Linked DNA regions of Neurospora crassa OR74A. The protein of the gene in region 2 interacts with the protein of the main gene of each other region in a pairwise test. Links are inferred from orthologs where the notes say so. Each region holds a gene or a part of one and is shown on either strand. Other genes may lie near its edges.

Region 1 (6,417 bases), on a different chromosome or scaffold from region 2:
GTTCGTCCTGGGTGGAGGAGGGGCGGTAGCAAGATCGCTAGGAGGACAATTGTGGCGAGGAGGGAGAAGAGGATGGTTGTGTTGAAGGGGCCGAGGCCTTTTGGTATTCTGCCGATGTTGGATTGGAGACGCGTGGTGGAGGGGGAAAAGGGAAAGCCGGAAGATAAAAGACCGGCGAGAAGGCGGCCAGAGATGGAGGAGATGTTGACTACGAGCGTGGTGGTGCGGAAGGTGGAGGAAAGGGAGTAGCCTTGGGAATAAAGAGAAGTGGCGGAGAGGTAGGTGGTTGTTGTGTAGATTGAGAGGTGGATTAGGAGGAGAGAGAGGAAGAGGAGGGTGTAAGAGGGAGACAAGAAGAAGGGGGTTAGGGAGGGGTGGATTGTGCTGCTGGGTTTTGTTGTTGTTGTTGTTGTTGTTGTCATCAAGGAGGGGTTTGCTGATGCTGATGATGATGAGGGGCCGCTGGCAGCCATGGACGTGGTAGAATCAGCAGAGCCGGGTGGTGATGACTTCTTCCTCTTCCCCGGCGAAGATAAAGTAGGGGATGTCGGTACCGAAGGGGCAGGTGACCTCACAGAAGGAGGAGAGCGGATCAAGAAGTTGGCGATGACGGCCAGGAAGAAGCAGATGAGTCCCAAGGTACGGATAGTCCATGGCCAACTGACCTCGTGGAAGAGGTTTCGAGTGGCATAAGGGAAGACGATGCCGGCCGTGGGACCGGCGGTGGTGGCAAGGCTGGTCGCAAAAGTGTAGTATCGCGGAGAGCGGCCGAAGAATTGGTGGATGGTAACGAGAGAGGGGATGAAGAGGAAGGTGGACGTTAGGCCGGAAAGGATGCCGAAGGCAAGGAGAATGGCCCATGTTTCTGTTTTTTTTTTACCATCGTTAGTGCCATGTCACTTTTACTGTCCTGTCCATGATTCCCGTCTTTTCAGCCCTCACTTCATAGTTTTTCTTCTCATCAAGGTGATTTGCGACTCGTCCTCTCACACCTCCCACACCTCTTGAATGTTCCCTAACCCCCAGCAACAGGGGAAAAAATGAAAGAAAGAATTGGACTCACCACTCCTGCAAGCCAGCACCACCGTTCCCACCCCCAAAAACACGGTCCCGCTCAAGACCATATACCGCGCCCCAAACCGGTCTGACAACGGGCCCACGTACATCCCCAAACCCAAACTAACCACGAAGTAGAGAGAGAAAACCCAAGCGAAGGTGCCGTCGCTGATGCTCGCCACTTGCTCGTTTTCCCCCGACAGATAGCTCTGGCATATCGACAACACAGTCAAAAGCCCAAAGGCTGCGAAAATGGCCAGCCAGGCGCCGAAGACAGTGAGCCAGGATCGGAGGGCGTATTTTCCCGTCATGAGGGTATCGTCTTCTACGAGGTTGGGGTCTTCGTGGTGATGGCGAGAAGGGGGATTCACACGGGGGGTCAGAGGGGTGAGGGAGTCGATGGAGGAGGATTGGTGGTGGTGATTTTCGGCTGATGGTCGGCTGCTGCTTGCGTTACTGCTGCTAGGTTCAGGGTCATCGTGGCCATCTAAGAGTGGGACGACTTGGGCCTTTCGCGAGGCGGCGGTTTCTGGCATTTTGGGTGTGATGTCTTTTAGGGTCGGGTCTGTGGTGCTGTTGCCTCTGGAAATGGAGGCTGTTGGTGGCGGTTCTGTGATCGGCACTGATTTCGAGTTGTTGGGTGAGGTCTGTTCGAGATCCAATGTCAACTCTGGGGTCTTGCTGTCCGCGCCTGGCGGGCGATGAGGGAAGGGACTGTTGGTCATGGATTCGGTGATGAGTGGAACTGAATGTTTCCTCGACAAGGACGAAAGGGAAAAGAAAACAAGAACGTCTTGTAAGGACGTCCCTATGTCGAGTTCACAGACTCGAGGGGGACAACCAAATGCTGAAACACTTTAAACAGAAACGAAACGGGAAATGGTTGTTACCTGTCACAGCACGATAGAACGAGATCAAACACGGCTGTTTTGTTTGCTCTATGGTCTAGAATAGTACGTAGGCAGCTATGAAGAAAAATCTCCACAATATCGCGCCGCTGACGAGGGGAACGTGGTGATCGGCAAAGAAAGGAAGAAAAAAAAAAGGGTCCAGAGCTTGTATGCGCCCACTTTGGATACTCCCGTTGGTTTGAAGATAAAGAATGACTGATGTAAGAACGTGGGCACATGTGGGCTCGACCCGTTGTCAGTGGACAATGGCTCCCTTGGGAACCCCTGCAAATTGGTTCCCGGACTGTGAACCTAAGGCCTTGTTTGGACAAATCACTAGTGAAACGGAGTCAAAGTCTCTACACTACGTAGGGGTGCAAATCACTGCTAGGGATGAGGTGCTTAGACAGCCACAATATCAACCAACTCCTCTTGCACTTGCAGACACTGGCAGTTTGAACGATGTAACGATTAGTCCTGTCATTGTTACTCCGGGAGGGGTTCCCAAGTCACATCCGTGTCACCAACCGTCACCAACTTTGAGATTATGTATGTACTCCCGTTGGCGACCCAGGGGCACTTTGGAGTTTGGACAGATGCCAACGGACCCCTTCCCGTCATCTTCCGCATCTTGACAAATGATGCTTGGAGTGAACCCTTGCCGAGCTCCACGCTCGCTTGCGGGGATGAAAGCTAACCACTCCGCTGCGTAACTAAGCCTTCGGCGAGGCAGTGTTCCTCACCTGGCTCCGTCTGTTGGAGCGATGCTGCAAATTGGCATTGATAGTGTATGTCGAATAGCCTTCAGGCTGATTTCTGATGTCGAAGGACCCTAGCGTAGCGGCAGGGAATCGTAAAACACGAGGTTGAAGAATCTCTGCGCCCACGCTTCAATAGCAACGGCGCTAGGGCTTGCCGAATGGCGGGAACCGTAATGTGCAGCAGGAAGCGCGGTATGACTGATTCCCGTCGCTGGCGATGTCCCAATTTACCCTTGTGGTGTCTTTTTGTTGTGGGCCTGTCGTGATGGGTCAACGGTTTCTTTTTCTCCACGGTAAGCCGTTTGCTGGGCTGTCCGAGGCAATTGGCCCTGTCCATTCCCTTTTCCGGCTCCAAACCCAACGAGCTGTTTTACGCTGAGCATGACATCCACGCCGGTGACTCTGAGAAGCATGTGCTGCATCGGCTATTGATATCAACGCAGTGCGGCCAAGCAAATATATTGGCCGCGGCTCTCGAATGCCAAGGCGGAGCTCATTCCATCAGCCTGGTTAGCCCCAAGGTTCTCGGCAGTCGTTGTCGCATCGCCAAGGCCGTCGCCAAGTTTGATATGACAGCAGCGGGACCAGGCCTGCTCACAAGGTGGCTTGGAAAACACGGGCCGAAGCGCTTGCTTTGAGATGTAATGTAGGTGTGGTGTCGATTGATGAACCATAAGGTCCCAGACTCCTATTCGCCGCCTAAAAGGGTTCGATGCGGCCTCTAGTCTTCTTCTTCCGCCTCTTCCATGGTAACTCCACGTGGGCCGGCGCTCTTCTCGACTTGCAGCCCATGAGCCGACTGTTCTGCCGGCTGGGAGGTCTTTAGGTAACCGGCCCTCTCGAGTTCGTCGGCTTCTTCTGGTTCCATGAGACCACCTTTGCCCTTGCCCTTTTCCAGCTTCAGACGGACATTGGTCGGTACGAATGCGCTCACGGCCTCCTTTCTAAGATCGCGGACCATAGGCTTGGCTTCGTACACAGTCTTGACCTCAACCACGGGTGCCTTTGGCTTCTCCATCTTCTGGTCTTCTTGTTGCTGCTGATGTCCTCTGCCTTGGCCGAGTGGCTCGTGGTTCGCGTTTGCCGCCCGCTTTGCCCTGCGCTTGGCATACCATTCGTCTAGGACGTCCTTGGGGATAGGCGGGGGAGTGTCGCGCGGCATCGGGATCCTCTTGACATCTTCGGGCACGTCGCTATCGCTAGACTCTTCGTCTTCCCGTCGCCGCTTTCCGAGGGCTCCATCGCGTCGCGGACCGTGGCCAAAGGTGGGCGCTTTGTCGCCTAGTGCCTCTCTGGCCTTCTTGACGGCTTTGAGATCCTTTTCGAGGGCCTCGAGGACCTGCTCTTGATGGGAGGAGAGCTTGCCGTCCGTTTCCTTGATCTTTTTTAGGTCGTCGATCTGCTGCTGGATCTTTTCGGGATTTCGTTTCGCGAGCTGTTCATTTCGCCTTGCCTGCTGCTGCGCCTTGCCTGTGCAATGTGAGGTTATTGTTAGTATATATATCGCTTGCGGGTAGGATCCGAATGTCGCCTTGTCTTCCTTCTTCCACTTGCCCTTTTTGATTTCCTTTGCCTTGTCAGCTTTGCGCTGGGCTTGGACTGGGTTGTAGTTTTTCTCCTTGGGCATTGTCGGTGTTGCTTATCTCAATTCGATGGGTAGAGTAGGTTCTTGATGGTGTAGTTGGTACTACTATCTCGACAGTGGTGATGGCGCAGACAAAAAAAAAAAAAAAAAAAAAAAAAAAAAAAAAAAAAAACATGGACAAACAAAGGACGGATCGTGGCACCGCAATTTAAATGGATGGAGCTTTCTGGAGCGGAATGACGCGTTGGAATAGTGCACAGCTCAGCTCTGCCAAGAACATTTCCGTTCACAGCGCGGCGGTCCAAGGAGTCGCGATTGCCAATCTGCCTGGTCTGTCTGGCAGCCCCTTCCGCCCCCCCCCCCCTTCTGACCCCGCGATTTGGGGCCATTGGGGGGCCATTGGGGAGCCATTGGGGAGCCATTGACACCCAAAGGGCCACTGTCCGTACTCCGTACCGTACCGCACCCACTGACACCTGCACCCAATTCCTGTCCCTGACTCTTAGGTGGCATCGGTGAATGGCTGCCCGTTGCCGGGGCTTTTGCTGCGACTGCCCATCCCGCTTGGTTGTTGATATTCAACCTGAAGTTGCCCCGCCTTTTTTCCCGTGGACGTCTTGCTAGGTCCAGGTGCTTCCCGCTCCTGCCCAACTCAGTCGCCAGGGAGAACTTGTCTCAGCAAAGGTTCGGTTGCTGCACTTGCCCGTCGCTGTTCGTGAAGGAGGAATTGCATGATTTAATTTTCGGTTTCCCGCTGGCGACCAGGATTCGTTTCTGTCCTCTGACAACAAAAAGAACAGGAACCTCTTGACGGCAGTTGTGTGTCCCTTTTTTTGCAACACCACGGACAACGGCACAGCGACGAGCTCACTCCCTCCCACCAAAAGTCAACAACTGAACAGTCAACACAGACCAACAGCATTGTACACAGTACCTCTACTTCTACAACTTACCTACCTACCAAGACTATCAACCCCCCCGGGCGCCATTCGAGTATCGCGGCCGCCCCATCCATCTCAGCTTGTTTTCAGCTGCCTCTTGCAGTCCCGTCTCCATAGCTATCCACCTGGGATCTGTCTTGTTGCATCTGACAGCTCGGCACTCTAATCTCCCATTTATCCTCCTGCATCACTCATCCAAGCTTTCCCACCGCGGCCCTGCTTCGCTTGTCTAGCCTTGCAGCCGCGCGGACAGTACAGATAAAGGAGACGAGACGAACTCGGGCACACCGACTGACTCCCGCCTCGCCGCTATCCATCCCCACGGTGTTCCCCTGCCCTGTACCGCTACTGCAGGTGGAGGCTGAGATCGCCCAAGCAAGTCAGCCCTACCTTGCTCCGTTTGGACTTTGGATCCGTGCCCGCCAGGAGCACATCTCTCAACACCACCTCAGGAGTACTCTCCCCTTCTACGTGGTGCTATCTGGCATAGCTGTCAGTCATGTCTAGCTACTTGACAAACTTCTTCCCTAGCGGCGGGAAGCAGGATGGTACCAGGCCCCAGACCCCCATGAGGCCGGGCACCTCGAGCTTCGTCAACCCCGTCAGCACACCTCAGGGGAGTCCCAGCAAGAGGACCCTTCCGCCTGGCGCCAATGAGCTGCCTGCCGCCTTCGAGTCTATGAAGCTTTCAACGCCCACCAAGCTCGCGACGTCATCCAGGCCCGGCACCTCATCCAAACTCGGGACCCCAAGTGCCCTCGACAGTCCCATCAAGCTCGGCCGTCCCCAGAGTGTGGTCACGCCTCTCTCGCCTGGAAAGAGCAACCTCAAAGACGTGGGCGACGATACCTTTGAGGACCTCACAGGCAATGGCAGTGCTGTTAGTGTCGTCCACAAGCAGGTGGACAAGAACTTGCCGAAGCCTTACCCTGTGCCCACTTCCAGGAGAAAGGAAAGGGATCAGAACCAGGAGAACACACCACCAGTCGTAACCCGCGATCCCCGCGACCCCCGCGACCCTGCCACTGAGCCAACATACCAGCGCAGCCATGCTGCCCTCTCCCGACAGGAACTTTACCAGGCAAGAGAGCGCGCCTCACCCACGGTCAAGAGATTTAACACGTCGAGGGGCCTCACTCCCGAGGAGCGCGAGCTGCTAAACAAACCCAATGTCAAGCGACTGG
Region 2 (6,446 bases):
CCTGCCCGTTAGATTCCCCTATACACTCCATCTTCTAACCACCTCCAACTACCCTAATCAAGATGAAGATGCTCATCTCCACCGAATTTTCGGCTATCGAGCCTTTTCTCTCCCTCTTTCGTCCCCGCTCGTTCCCTCTCCTCCTCGTCCTCTTAGCTTTTGCCTCCACCCTTCTTCCCCTGGCTTCAGCACAGCTCGACAAGTACGCCAAACTCGCCGGCCTCTCCTATTTCGGCACAGCCGTCGACAACCCTCGTCTATACAATGAGCAGTACATGTCTGTGCTTCAGGGGTCTGGCGAGTTTGGCTCGCTGACACCCATCAATGCACAGAAATGGAAGAAGACCGAGGAGGTCCAAGGAGTATTCACCTTTGCGGAAGCGGATGCTATAGCGAATACGGCGAAAGCTGGGGTGGGAGGAATGAAGACGCTGAGGTGTCATACCATGGTGTGGTATAAGGGGTTGCCTTCTTGGGGTATGTCCTCTTATGTGTGCAGAGGAGTGGAGCGAGGAACAAATGGAAACTGACGAGAGAGAATAATGCCTTAGTTGAGACGACGTACTCCCGCGACGACATGGAAAAGATCCTCGCCGCACACATCCAGAATCTGGCACAGTACTTCAAGGGGAGGTGTTATGCTTGGGATGTGGTGAATGAAGCCATCGACGAGAACGGAGTGTTTAGACAGAGTCCAAGTACGTCTTTCCATGCTGGCCTTCATGCTCTTTCAATCCCGCCCATACCTTGGTTATTTTAAGCTGACATCCCGCAAGTGTACAAAGCCATGGGCCTCGACTTCATCACTTTCTCCTTCAAGACCGCCGCCAAAGCCGACCCCGGCGCCAAGCTCTACTATAACGACTACGCCCTGGAATCACCGTCCCTCTCCCCGGGCCCCAAAATTTCTATTACTCTCGCCATGCTCCGCACCGTCAAGGCCCAAGGCGGCACCGTCCACGGCGTCGGCTTCCAATCCCACCTCAAAGTCGGCCTTGTCCCTGCGCGTGCCGAGATTGTCAATACAATGCAGCAGTTCCTGGAGGTGGTGGATGAGGTGGCCATCACGGAGCTAGATATTCGACACAGCCCGCTGAAGGTGCCGAGCACAAGGGAAATGTGGAACGCGCAGGCAAGGGATTATGGAGAGGTGGTGGGCGCTTGCTTGGATGTCAACAAGGGGTATGGAGGGAGGAAATGCGTGGGGGTGACTTTGTGGGATTTCACCGACAAGTATTCGTGGGTGCCGAGCGAGATCCCCACAGAGGGGGAGGCGTGCATGTGGGATAACAATTATGTTAAGAAGCCGGCGTATTGGACGGTGTTGAATATGTTCAAGGCGTATGCGGCGGGCGCGTCGAGGAGGCGGGCGGGGATGGATGGAGTGGATGATGGAAATGGGACGGTATCGGAACTGGACTTGGAGGCGGCAGCACATCGCGGGCCTGAGGGTCTTCCTGGGCTTGGAAGGGAACAAACGACGAAGACGGTTGTAGCGACTACGCTGGCGACGGCGAGGAGGGTTAGGTCGACTGCTAGGCCAGGGGCGTGAAGAATGGTGGATGATGGTGACAATGAAACCAGTGATGGTTGACGTGTGATGGCGGCCGACGGATGACTTGACGAGGTGTGCCACGAAAGGCCTGATGCCAATTTGGCTTTTCTTGTATATGATTCTTGATGAGTACCTTACCTATCTGCTTCCATTCTCTCACATGTTTAGTGTGCAAACGCCCCGTTAAATACATGGAACCTGGTTGTTCCTGGAAACCCGCGGCGTGATATGAAGATGGGAACTCCTGAGCGCTATGCTGACGAACAATTTTGGGTATATACCATCTAGTTGAGACGGCCACTTACTCACTCTCTTATCTCTCCTCCTTTGCCTCATCCTCCTTCGACGCCTCCCCGCCAGCCGCAGCACCACCGCCCAGCTGACTCTGCAGCCCCTTCTTATCAACAACCATAGCCCTCTGCAGCTCCCTCTCCTCCTCCCTGAGCCTCGCCCGTTCAACGGCTAACCTCTTTTCTTGTCTTCTCTTTTCCTCTTCTACCCTCCTCTCCCTCTCTTCCAACGCTTTCTCTCTCTTCTTCCTCTCCTCTCTAGCTTTCCTCAGTACCTCATCCTCCGCTTCTTCCGCAGCGCTTTGGGCCTCTGGAGGTGAGGCAAGACCCTGGATGTAACCCTCGATGAATTCGTCGCGCGTTTTCGCATCGAGCGAGATGTACCGGATGTCTGCCAAGATTTGGCTCGGGAGGCTGGCTGCTGAGGACCGGTTGTTCAGCTGCCGGAGCTGTACACTCTCAAGCAACTTCTTCAGGTCACTCTTGAGTTGTGTGTGCGGTAGCTTCAGTCTGTTGATATGCTCCCTGTACAGCTTTTCTCTTTCCTTGTCGTTGAAGCTCCTGTGATGCGCCGAATCCTTCATCACATCTTCCTTTCGATATTTCCTCTTGAACTCAGCCCAATATAGCTTTGGCGTGGCATGTTCTTGTAGAAAGGCCAGGTATGGTATCCTTGGGTCCTTCTTCTCTTCCTTTGCCCTCGCTTCTTTCAGGGCTTGGATAGCCTCGCGGGACCACTCATCGTAAACTTCCCTGCGCTCGCGCATGGATGAGAGGGCAGTGTACCGCGGGTCGGAGAAGACACCCGTCTTGTCGCCTTCGTCGATCAGCTTTTGAAAAGGGGAGTAGGGGTTAATGCGGAAGTCGGCGAGGAGGTCGCGGAAGAGGAGGCGGGCGTCGGCGTCAGAAAGGGGCTCGACGTTTTCTGCTTGTGCTGCAAAATCGTATTCTTGGTCAATATCCATACCATCGCCTTCCATCATGGCCAGCTGAGCGGCAAAGTCGTCTTCTGTAAACTCGATCGGCCCTTGGTTTTCGTCTTCGGTACGCTGGTGCTGGGAGGGGTGTTCGGCGTCGTTGTGGTCTGCGCCTTCGTCATCGGTGACTTCTACTTCTTCGTATTCTGAACTGTCGTAGTCGTGCGTCTCTTCTAGGCCCTGTTGCCCCGAACCCAGATTCTTCCCCTCCGCCTTTTCCTCCTCCTTATCATGGCTCTTGTATCTCGGATCCTCCTCGAGCGGTGGCTCCCCAGCGGCCTTCCTCCTGATCCTTTCTTTATCCAACTCGATCACTGCTGGCAGGATCTTCTCCGGAATCCGCCAGTAACTCGCATTCTTTACCGGATTGAAAGCAAACCTTCTCCCATATTTTGTGTATACCAGGAACCACGGCTCGCAGCCGAGGATGGCGATCTTGGCTTTTGGCTTGTCGACGGGCTGTGGTCGGGGCCTTTGCTGTTGCTGGCTACCGCCCCTACCCCCTGCTCCAAAACCCCCTCGCCCGCCTTGGTGTTGAGGCTGGGACTGCTGGGAATACTGCGCCATAAGGGCATTGGCAACGCGTGGATCGGAGAGGTTTATCGCGGGAACGGCTTGGTGTTGGAGGTAGCTCATGGAGGGGTTCGCTGGCGCCGCGGCGAGCGGATGGGCGCCGGGGACTGGCGAAGCGGACGGAGGACCGAACGGAGAAGCGGCGGCGGGAGGAGTGGGAGTCGGAGTAACGCCGGGGCGCTTGTAGGTTGACTCCTTGGTTGAGGCATTGTAGTAGTATGTGTGCCCGGTAGGCGCTTTGTGTTCGGTCCAGCCTGGTGGCAGGGGAGGAAGAGCACCAGGAGAGGGTTTGTATGTTGATTTCAGCATCGCGGTCCAGTGTATGTTGCGGTGGGTGTGGTTTGGGTGGAAGTGGTAGGTATCGATAGGTGCCTAGCTGGAGACACGGAAGATGGAAAGATGGAAAGATGGAAAGATGGAAATCGAATCGAATCGCAAAACGAAAGTCCCGTCGCTCGTCGCAATTGAACTTCTTCCACTTGGAGCTGCAACTGCAAGTGCTGCCCGGTGGAGACCGCCGGTGGAGAATGCGATTCGCGTCACGGTGCAGGGATCAGCAGTGCTGCGGCAGCCCCCCCGGCAAGTTGACACAGGCGCAGCAATTGAGGCACCGGGGAAGGGTTAGGGGTCGTCTGGCAAATCGTCGACACTCGTTTGAACCTCATCGCCAACTTGTTTTGTTTTTGTTCCAGTCCGTTTCAATTGGGGAATAAGTACGGCATATATCACCCAAGGAGCTGTCATCACTGTCCGATTGGAACAAGAAATCTAGCGCACTGGCTACCTCTCCAGTGTCATCAAGCTCCATGTTGGACAGTCCCTCTGCGAGAAACGAGTCCCGCTCTGCTTCTTCCTCTTCAACGTGTAGCTCATCTGCCATTGACTTAGCTCTTTTAACCATTTCGTTGATGCTGGAACTGGCTTTCATCGGGTGCTCAAGTGAGGTCTTAGGGGGGTTCTCAGGAGGCGGTCTCCCCCCGACCTTCAACATAACCCCATCGACAACCATCTTCCCATCCCAGTCTCTTACGAGCCTCTTCATCTCTTCCTCATTATGTAGACTCACCCAGCCATGTGTCTTCAGCGGCCCCGACCTAGCCGGGGGACAGACCGCTACGGCTTTTGGTTCCGCAAAGTTCCTCGTTACGAAATTGAACAACCGGGCTGGTCTGCCAAGGGACTCTGGCAGGTGCGCTGTTCCGTCCTTGTCATCTGTCGGCACCGGTACAATTTTCACTGTCCAAGGGAACTTGGATGCCGGTCTTGGCACCCATTCCCACAGTTTTCTGTTCCCATGCTCCTCCCACGTAAACCTTTTGACCACCAAACCTCCTGCCTCTGGCGCCCTCGCCAGAAGCGCAAGCATTGTTCCCAGTGTGCGCACAGCGTCCATACCAGCCGAGTGATGCCTCGCTCGGGGCTGTATCCCATGGTTACGCCTGAAGTTGAGAGCCAACATGGCATCCCGCAACGAGATCTTGCGATGCGTCTTGTGCGCTACCCTTCTACCTTCCCATCTCGCATCCGCAAGACCGGTATGCGAGACATCGCACCAGTGTGTGACATGGTCATCCAACAAAGGGAAAACAGATTTGACGGCGCGGTGCTCAAGCTCCATGTCGAATCCCACGAGGATGGTATGGGCCGTGGGGTCCTGAAGGCGGATGGACTGCAGTACGGAGACAATGGTGGACTGGAGGTGGGTGATGGGGTGGTGGACCACCTCGCCGTAGTGGAAATGCTCGTAGGACCGGGCACGCTCACGGCCAAGGACGGCAAAGCAGTAAGACTGCAGACGGTAGTGAGAAGCGATGGTGTCGAGGTCGATTTGCCCTTGGTGGTGGTCTGGAAAGGGCCATGGCCACGAGCCATCCGCGGATGCCGGGGAGAGGGAGAAGACGGGTGGCAGGATGGAGATGCCCACGGAGGTGATACCCTGCGCTATCCCCTCGATACCCTCCACATCGATGCCAATGCAGTAAGAGTGAGGCACCAGGGAGCGCAGATGATTGAGGGTGGTGATCTTGGTGGTGGATGACAAGTCTGAAGGTTCTGTTGGGTTATCGAGACATGTCGTGGAACATGAAGACGGCGTGCAAGAGTCGAACGATGGCGCACGGTGCCGTGTGCATGTGCGAAGTGGCGCTTGTGCACGGGATGGGGGGCCGGCGTCTAATTCGGAAAGAAAAAGCGAACCAAGTGACATCTGCGCCTTTTTGGTGGGTGTTGATTGTGCCGCTAACGGTGGCCGAACTCGGGATACCAGTCGACTGGCGGCGGTTGATCGATTCAATCAGACGGCGGGGTGAACTGATGAGGCGTTGGTGAGGGTGTTCCCTTGGCAGGACGTTGAGCGTGGGTTCTGATTGAGTCCGTGGATGGAGAGACACATAGCAAGTGTGAGGTAGCTAAATAGGTCTGTACACAATGAAAGGTTGCAAGATGTCGAACCACCTAAGCCAAAAGTGTGATCAAGGGAAGTGAAAGCTCAGCCGAATATCTGAAAACGATGAAGAAATGTGAATGGGTTGGGTGTACCTATCTACCTACCTACCTAGGTAAGCTGATGGTTGAAACAGGTAGAGGTAGACACCCCGCGGCCTGGACAAATTATAGGGCCCACTGCGCCAAGGGCGGGTGATTCCTGGATGACCCGATCCTGCCGTTTTAGCCTACTACATACACTACTGCACTAACAATTTCGGACCCCACCCAACTTGAGATTCGAACCAAACACCAACTTCCATGGCATCCACGTCGCTGCACCAGCTTCGTTCCATTCTTACTACTACTACCTCTACACAGTAGCTCCCACCAAACACACGACACGGCATCTACCTGACTGGACGAATTCTGCCGCTTGTCGGCCGTGGCAGCCCGATAACACCTACTTGACGGCGAAGCGACCAAAGCAAGCTGCTGTCTTTTCCGCCAATATTTCTGGCCGACACTGGGTCATCTGCACACGGCAGTGGAAACTCTTCACCATCCACATCGTTCCGTATCGCAAGGCGAACCCAAGACCTCACAAGGTGACCGATTCACAAACCG
Region 3 (6,289 bases), on a different chromosome or scaffold from region 2:
CTCAGCCAGTCCTTGCACAAATAGCTGGCGGCGTTGTTCTAATTCGTCAAGACGCGCCTCGATACGTGCGCTGGCTTCGAAGATATCAAACTGTTCGCGGAGACGGCGGTCGACAGAGGAATCAGAATCGTCGCTTTCGTCGCTAGAGGTGTCGTCGTTGTCGTCCTCGTTTTCGCTGTCTTGTTCTGTGTCTGAGGAAGGGAAGCCGCTGCTGTCAAGTTCGAGGCTGTTGTCGCTGTTGTCGGAGTAGTCGTGAAAGCCGGGAATGTCAAGGTCGAAGTCGTGGTCAAAATCGTAGGGAAGGTCGAGGTCGATGTCAAATCCAGGGTCGGCGTCGACCAGGCTAGATTCGCTAGATGACGGAGACTGTGGGGAATGTGGGCTCCGTCGATGGCGGGGCGACAGCGAACCGCCGCCAACGTTGTAGTGATTCTCCTCCTCTTCTTCTGCTCCTTCTTCGTCGTCAAGGTCTAGATCAATGTTGTTGTTGTTGTTGTCGTCCAAGTTGTAATCCCAGTCCAATTCAGAAACTTCGCCGTGATCGTCTTCGCTGTTGTCGAGACTCAGGTCAATGTCAATGTCACTGCTGTCGTTGTCGATGGCCAGATGGTCTTCGTAATGGTCCTCGAATTGCCCTTCGCCCTCAGCGACTAATTGCTCGACCTGGTACAAAAATCCGCCCTCGTCATCAAACCAGTCGTCCGCCGCGTCCATAATGACGGGAGGGAAATGGAGGGGGGCGGAAGGAGGTTGATTCCACTGCAAAGTCGCGGTGCCAGTGTCGGTGTTCGGTGGGTGAAATTGCTTGTTCACTGATAGTCGCCTCCGCGCATTTCCCCAACTCGATTGGAAGACTGTGGAGAGCAGCACTGCACAGACTGACCTCGCTCGAGCTTCCGGGCCAACACCAGTGTGGTCCCCCTTGCCGCTGGTGATGAACGACCGGGATGAAGCCGAACCGCCCAGCTGATTCAACAAGTGCACGTATTGAAGTGAATCTGGTTTGGGAACAGATCTCAACGCCCAATTCGTCCCTAGGTATGCTGGACGGTGATCAGGCACAACAAGGTCAGGGTTGAAGGAGAGCTAGCTGAATGTCTGCAGCCTCGAGGGGTGGTGGCAAACGCAGCTTGGTCAGCTTGGTCAGCAAATGAGCGAATAGCGTGTTGTGGTTTCAAGCGGTTTTTTTTTTTTTTTTTTTTTTTTTTTTGGGTGAGCGGATAGAAATTAAAAGATGAGAGCCAACCATCACCGTGATAGACGAAGAGACTCGGTCAACAAAGGAAGGAACTGAGGCTTTGATATTTTGAGACACTGGAGGGAAAAAGAAAGAAAAAAAAAAGTTACCACCAAGACTTCCTGCCAAACTTCTCATAAGAATGGTTGAGGGAAGTTGACAAAAAGCTATCTAATGCCTGGAAAACCTGCCCCTGGATAACAGGCAGGGTGCTGGCAGATCTGTAACACTCGAGTCTGAGCCTGTGCTTCGGAATGCCGTGTAGGCAAGATAGGTAGGTACCTTAGTGTTGGGCAGTACGGTAGAGCCTTCACTAACTAAGCAGACATATGTGTACAGAAGTAGAGGTATGCGGCTTCCTGTGCTTGCACGGCTGTCGGGCGCTCAAAGGGGGAAGGCCTTTTCTTTTTACAAACTAACCGAGTTTCTACGGTACCTAGGTAACCGGCACGGGGGAAGTCGTTCGTTGTGCTTGTTTTCTAAAACTGAAGCACAAGGTCATTCATCAACACCTCGGTTGGTGTCTTTCACAAGTTCCTATGGTGACTTGACGTTGACCATGCTTAATGTGCCTCTGTTAGTACCTTAGCAGTACTGCGGGCAAGAAGAGCCTGTTACAACGCTGCATCCTTAACAGTCAGACATAGGGGTCCAATTGTACACTACCTTACCTGCATCCCGATTCGGGCATTCAGGAACAAACAGCTGTCAGCCTATCAGGTTGCACTATCCCCTGTTCTCGTCGTGAGCTCTTTCAGGGTCTGATGATGGACCGTGATATGGAAGCTGTTGGAACGCAGGCACTGCCAAAGTTGAGATCACGAAATACGGAGGTGAAGCCATACAACAGTATCACCGCAGAATTTCCCCGTTTTGCTTCGGTATCATCAGAAGTGAAGACTTCAAGACAGATATGCTCTTTAAAACAACATGCTCCCGCCGCTCAAGTCTACACTAGACCTGTTCATCAAATATCTTTTTCACGCTCGAGTCCAGATAAACCAATGAATTACTTTATAAGCTCTTTATGTTTTGCGTCATACTGGGCAGACCGGTATTGAGCCCTCTCATCAGGAGCTAACGCCTACCAATAAACCCCGATCTCCCCTTTCGCTCCTCTAGCCCATCACTTTAATCTTCTTTGGTCTTCCAAAGCCAACCCCACCTAGACCGTCTCCGAGTCCGACTTTTCGTATTTTCCAATGCGATCCTACTCGCTCTTCGGCTCCAACACCGAAACTACGCCCTCTTTGCTGACAGCCACCAACTGCCTCGCCTTGTCTCCCCACTGCACCGCCACAGCCGGCGTGCTTGTCCTCAACGGCTCCGTCCACGACTTGCTAGCCTTGACATACTGCTGCACCGTAACGCCCTGCGATCCGGCAGTGGCGAGGTACTGACCCGTGTAATCCCAGGCAAGGCCGGAGACGTCACCGGTTTGGAGCTCCTTGGCCCGCGCGGCGTCGCCTTCCTTGCGCAGGTCGAAGATGGTGACAGAGGACTGGCCGACGCCCGTAGCGGCGAACCAGAAGCCGTTTTCGGAGAAGACGAGGGTCTTGACGGGGGCGCCGAGGGTGAAGTTGGCCATGCGCTGGAGAGTCTTGGTGTCGAAGATCTCGATCTGGCCGGATTGCGTGCCGGCGGCGAAGAGGTGGCCGTCGGGGTGGAAGGCGCAGGATGTGAGTTCTGTTTGTTCATATTAGTAACTTGAGACTGTGAGGCGGGTGGTGAAAGGGTACATACCAGCGTCAGTATAGACACGCGCTACACGCTGCAGCGACTGCAAATCGTAAAAGATGATGCCCTTATCCACGCCCACAGAAGCAAGAATCTGCTCGCCAGGGTGCACCGCCAAGCCCGTCACGGCACCGGCGTGCTCCGTAACAGAACCAGTCTCGACACCGCCCTCAACAGCCTTGACACTGCCCTTCGAAGTGGCCGAGACGACCTTGTTGCCGATCCACACCGTAGCAGTCACCGGCTCGCCAACCTCCAAAGAGCGTTCGTGTGCCTTGGCCTCAACCGAGTAGAGATCCACCTTGCCGTCCAATCCACCAACCGCCGCATAACCACCGTTGAGAGCGAGCGAGGTCGCTTGTGTGACGGGGAGATCTGTGTAGGCGGTTTGTTGCAGAGCGGAAATGTCTTCTGTGGTGGCCCAGCCTTCGGGGACTGGTCGCTTCTTGCGGCCCTTTTGCTTTCTGTAGATCGGTGAATTGTCAGCATTCAACTTTTCGAGATGACGGAGCGCGGTAAACGTACTCGGCCTGAACCTCATCAACATGTGCAGCCAACGCCTCGGGCAGACCCTCGCTGTCTACCGCCATAGCGTCACCAGTTGCGGCACCGCCAGCAGAAGCCGTAACTGTGAGTCTGGAAAGGGCCTCGCGGGCCTCATCACGCTCCTTGGTCAAGCGAGCAATCACGCGAACGGCGGCATCGTTCTGGTAGAGCGCCGTGGCCAATTCCTCCCTTGTCCTCGCCAGTTGTTGCCTCGTGTTGTATGACTCTAGTACCAGGGCGTCCCACTCGTCTTGGAAGGCCTTGAGCATGGATGGGAGGGATGTGAATTGCGGGGGGCGGGGGCGGACGATCCGATTTGTCTTGATGGGGAGGAGGTCTTCGACGTCTAGCTCTTCATCGGTGCCGGGTTCTTTGTGGTTCTCTTGGATGTACTTTTCGATCAATCGCTTCTCGAAGACGGCGCCTGGGATGTGTTAGTATGGCATCGCATTTCGGCCTGTCGTGGAAGCATCTGGTGTGGCTTGGTGGGAACAGAAGCGGTGGGAATGGTGGGATCTCGGTGATGGTGACAACAATGACGAAGAGTGCGCGTACCGGTCTTTCTCGAGACAACAGGCTCCTCGGGAACCTCTCCGGATACTGCGTCAATCGGTTAGCACAGCGTCGCGCAACGGTAGATTAGAGCTGTGACATACGGGCGCAAAGCATCTTGATAATATGACTGCAATGCAAAATCTGTAAAATGGGTTGTTTGGTTCAAGTCGCGATGTCAATGTCGTCCTCCAACTTTTTTGTTGCAACGCGCCACGGCCAGCCAGCTAGCACAGACAGCAGGCAGGCGACGGCCTGGAGCTGGACGACGCTAGAGGTACTTGGAGGTTTGGCGGCAGGCAGAGAACCATCTGCCAAGCTTGAGCCACACCGAGCCGCATACTACGGTAAGTGACCAATCATGTTGCATAAATGACTATGGACGTTTGGGAGGTACTTTGGCAATGTATCTTTTACTCGTCATTTTCGACTCAACACCATGCCACTTCTCACAACATCTACAATGTAGACAGCATCACATTCAACTCAATAGCAAATCCACTACACATAGATACTTCCCTTCGTAACCACCACCGCCGTCCCTCCCAGATACAAATCCTTCACCTTCGCCTCCCCATTCTCCCCCTCCACCGCCGTCGTCTCCACCTCAATCTCACTCTGCCTCCCCATCTCCACGCCCTGCGTCAACTCAAACCTCGCCCCTCCCATCTCCCTCCCACTAACCGTCAAATAGCTCGCCAGCGTACACGCCGCACTACCCGTCGCCGGATCTTCAAATCCCAACTCCACCATCCTCGTCCTAAACTTGAACTCCTTCCTCCCATTTTCACTCTCTTTCTCCCTCTCCATCGGCACATAATAATACCTGGACACAAACCCGCGCTCCCACTCCCCCTTATCCAACAACCCCTCCACCTTACTAAAATCCAGCCTTTTCGCCGTCGACACCTTCGCCAAATGTTCCAAACTCGGCAGTTTTACCAACAAAAACGTCATTCCCCGCACGATACTAACTACCGGGCCATTTAACTCCGCTTGTCTTATCTCTGGGTCCTCGGACAGCGCAGCCTCAATCATCTCCCTTGTCTCCTTCTTCACCTCCCCTCCCTTTCCATCCAGAATCCCGCCCAACGTCTGCTTATGAATACGCACAGCATGCGGAATCGTAGCCTTCACCCTTCCTTCGGACGTCGGTCTGATCGTAATCGGTCCGGCCTTGGTAACAAGCGTGTCCACATGCTTCCACCCCAAATGGTTTAGCACGAGGTACGCCGTTCCGACAGTGGGATGTCCGGCAAAGGGAAGTTCTTCCTCGATGGTGAAGATGTCGATTTCCCGACTGGTGGAAGTCAAGCCATCGCGCGCTTCGTCGTCGAGCGTGTGCAGAAAGACGGTCTCGGAGAAGTTGAATTCGCGGGCGATGAGCTGTTTGACGTCTTGGGTGAGATGAGAACGAAAAGAGGCGGGGGTGAGGACTACGGCTAGGGGGTTGCCTAGGTAGCGGGTGGAGGTGAAGACGTCGACGGTTAGGTAGGTGAGGGTGATGGGCTGGGCCATCTTGGATGTTTTGGTGCGGGAGGTGCCGCTGTCTCCGGATGAGATGGTGAGAGAGTGAGTGAGGTGGGACTGATGGCTCGTATCTTTGATAGCAATATCGATTTTTGGATCTTTTGTTGCGGTGTCGAGGTTTTATACCTTGATGAGAGTTGGAGGAGTCATGGTTCGATGAATCACAGCTGAAAAGTGGGGTAGCTCCAATTGCTACCTTGGTGAGGTTCGTCTTAAGTGGTCGCGTCCTTAGTTCAATAGTACAGTCATTGACTTACTAGCCCTCAATGGCAGCCCCGGACATCGGCCAGCTTACGTGATGACATTGCCCGCAATGCTTGATGCCTTTTTCTTTTCTCTTTCCTTCTCTGTTCTTTTCCCACATCCTCCCCTTGTTTCGATCTTCGTGTTTCCAGTCTCCAATGGCTACCCTAGTGTGCCCGACAGCAGGACACCATTTGTCCAGGCCTAATTCTTTTCTTTCTTTTCGCTTTGAGAAACCACCTCCTTTCTTTGAGTTATGAGGGTGAACTCTCCCAGTTATCATCACAGCCACAACTGGCCATCATTTTGGTGTCCCAAGTTTCGTGATCACAGCTTAGAAAGTGGCGTCTCTTTCATGGCACATGTCGATGTCACCAAGAAATGTGCATCTTTCAACGTTAAGAAGATTCCCCAAACTATTATGAAAAGTACCCATTCCGCATC

What was found.
Region 1: the proteins of NCU17058 (region 2) and NCU09070 interact in a two-hybrid assay, tested with the Schizosaccharomyces pombe proteins (2 studies listed by BioGRID). The link is inferred for Neurospora crassa OR74A from reciprocal best matches to the Schizosaccharomyces pombe genes dre4 and saf1.
Region 3: the proteins of NCU17058 (region 2) and NCU11357 interact in binary tests that used the Schizosaccharomyces pombe proteins (3 or more experiments, as listed by UniProt). The link is inferred for Neurospora crassa OR74A from reciprocal best matches to the Schizosaccharomyces pombe genes dre4 and prp19.

The regions. Positions count from the first base shown.
Region 1 is NC_026501.1:748,107-754,523, forward strand, and holds NCU09070 (hypothetical protein), read right to left. Parts: upstream 4,422-6,417; 5' UTR 4,335-4,421; coding exon 4,262-4,334; intron 4,178-4,261; coding exon 3,429-4,177; 3' UTR 2,158-3,428; downstream 1-2,157. Other genes in the region: NCU09069 (hypothetical protein), read right to left, coding at 1-865, 1,064-1,781; dbf2 (AGC/NDR protein kinase), read left to right, coding at 5,733-6,417.
Region 2 is NC_026506.1:42,181-48,626, reverse strand, and holds NCU17058 (FF domain-containing protein), read right to left. Parts: upstream 4,027-6,446; 5' UTR 3,705-4,026; coding exon 1,869-3,704; 3' UTR 1,659-1,868; downstream 1-1,658. Other genes in the region: gh10-4 (endo-beta-1,4-D-xylanase), read left to right, coding at 63-477, 552-698, 777-1,552; NCU17057 (hypothetical protein), read right to left, coding at 4,057-5,601. UniProt on the Schizosaccharomyces pombe protein: Component of the spliceosome involved in mRNA processing.
Region 3 is NC_026503.1:539,879-546,167, reverse strand, and holds NCU11357 (cell cycle control protein), read right to left. Parts: upstream 4,318-6,289; 5' UTR 4,190-4,317; coding exon 4,177-4,189; intron 4,121-4,176; coding exon 4,076-4,120; intron 3,945-4,075; coding exon 3,500-3,944; intron 3,439-3,499; coding exon 2,981-3,438; intron 2,924-2,980; coding exon 2,448-2,923; 3' UTR 2,158-2,447; downstream 1-2,157. Other genes in the region: NCU05697 (hypothetical protein), read right to left, coding at 1-714; NCU11356 (phenazine biosynthesis PhzC/PhzF protein), read right to left, coding at 4,574-5,590. UniProt on the Schizosaccharomyces pombe protein: Probable ubiquitin-protein ligase involved in pre-mRNA splicing. May also function in DNA repair.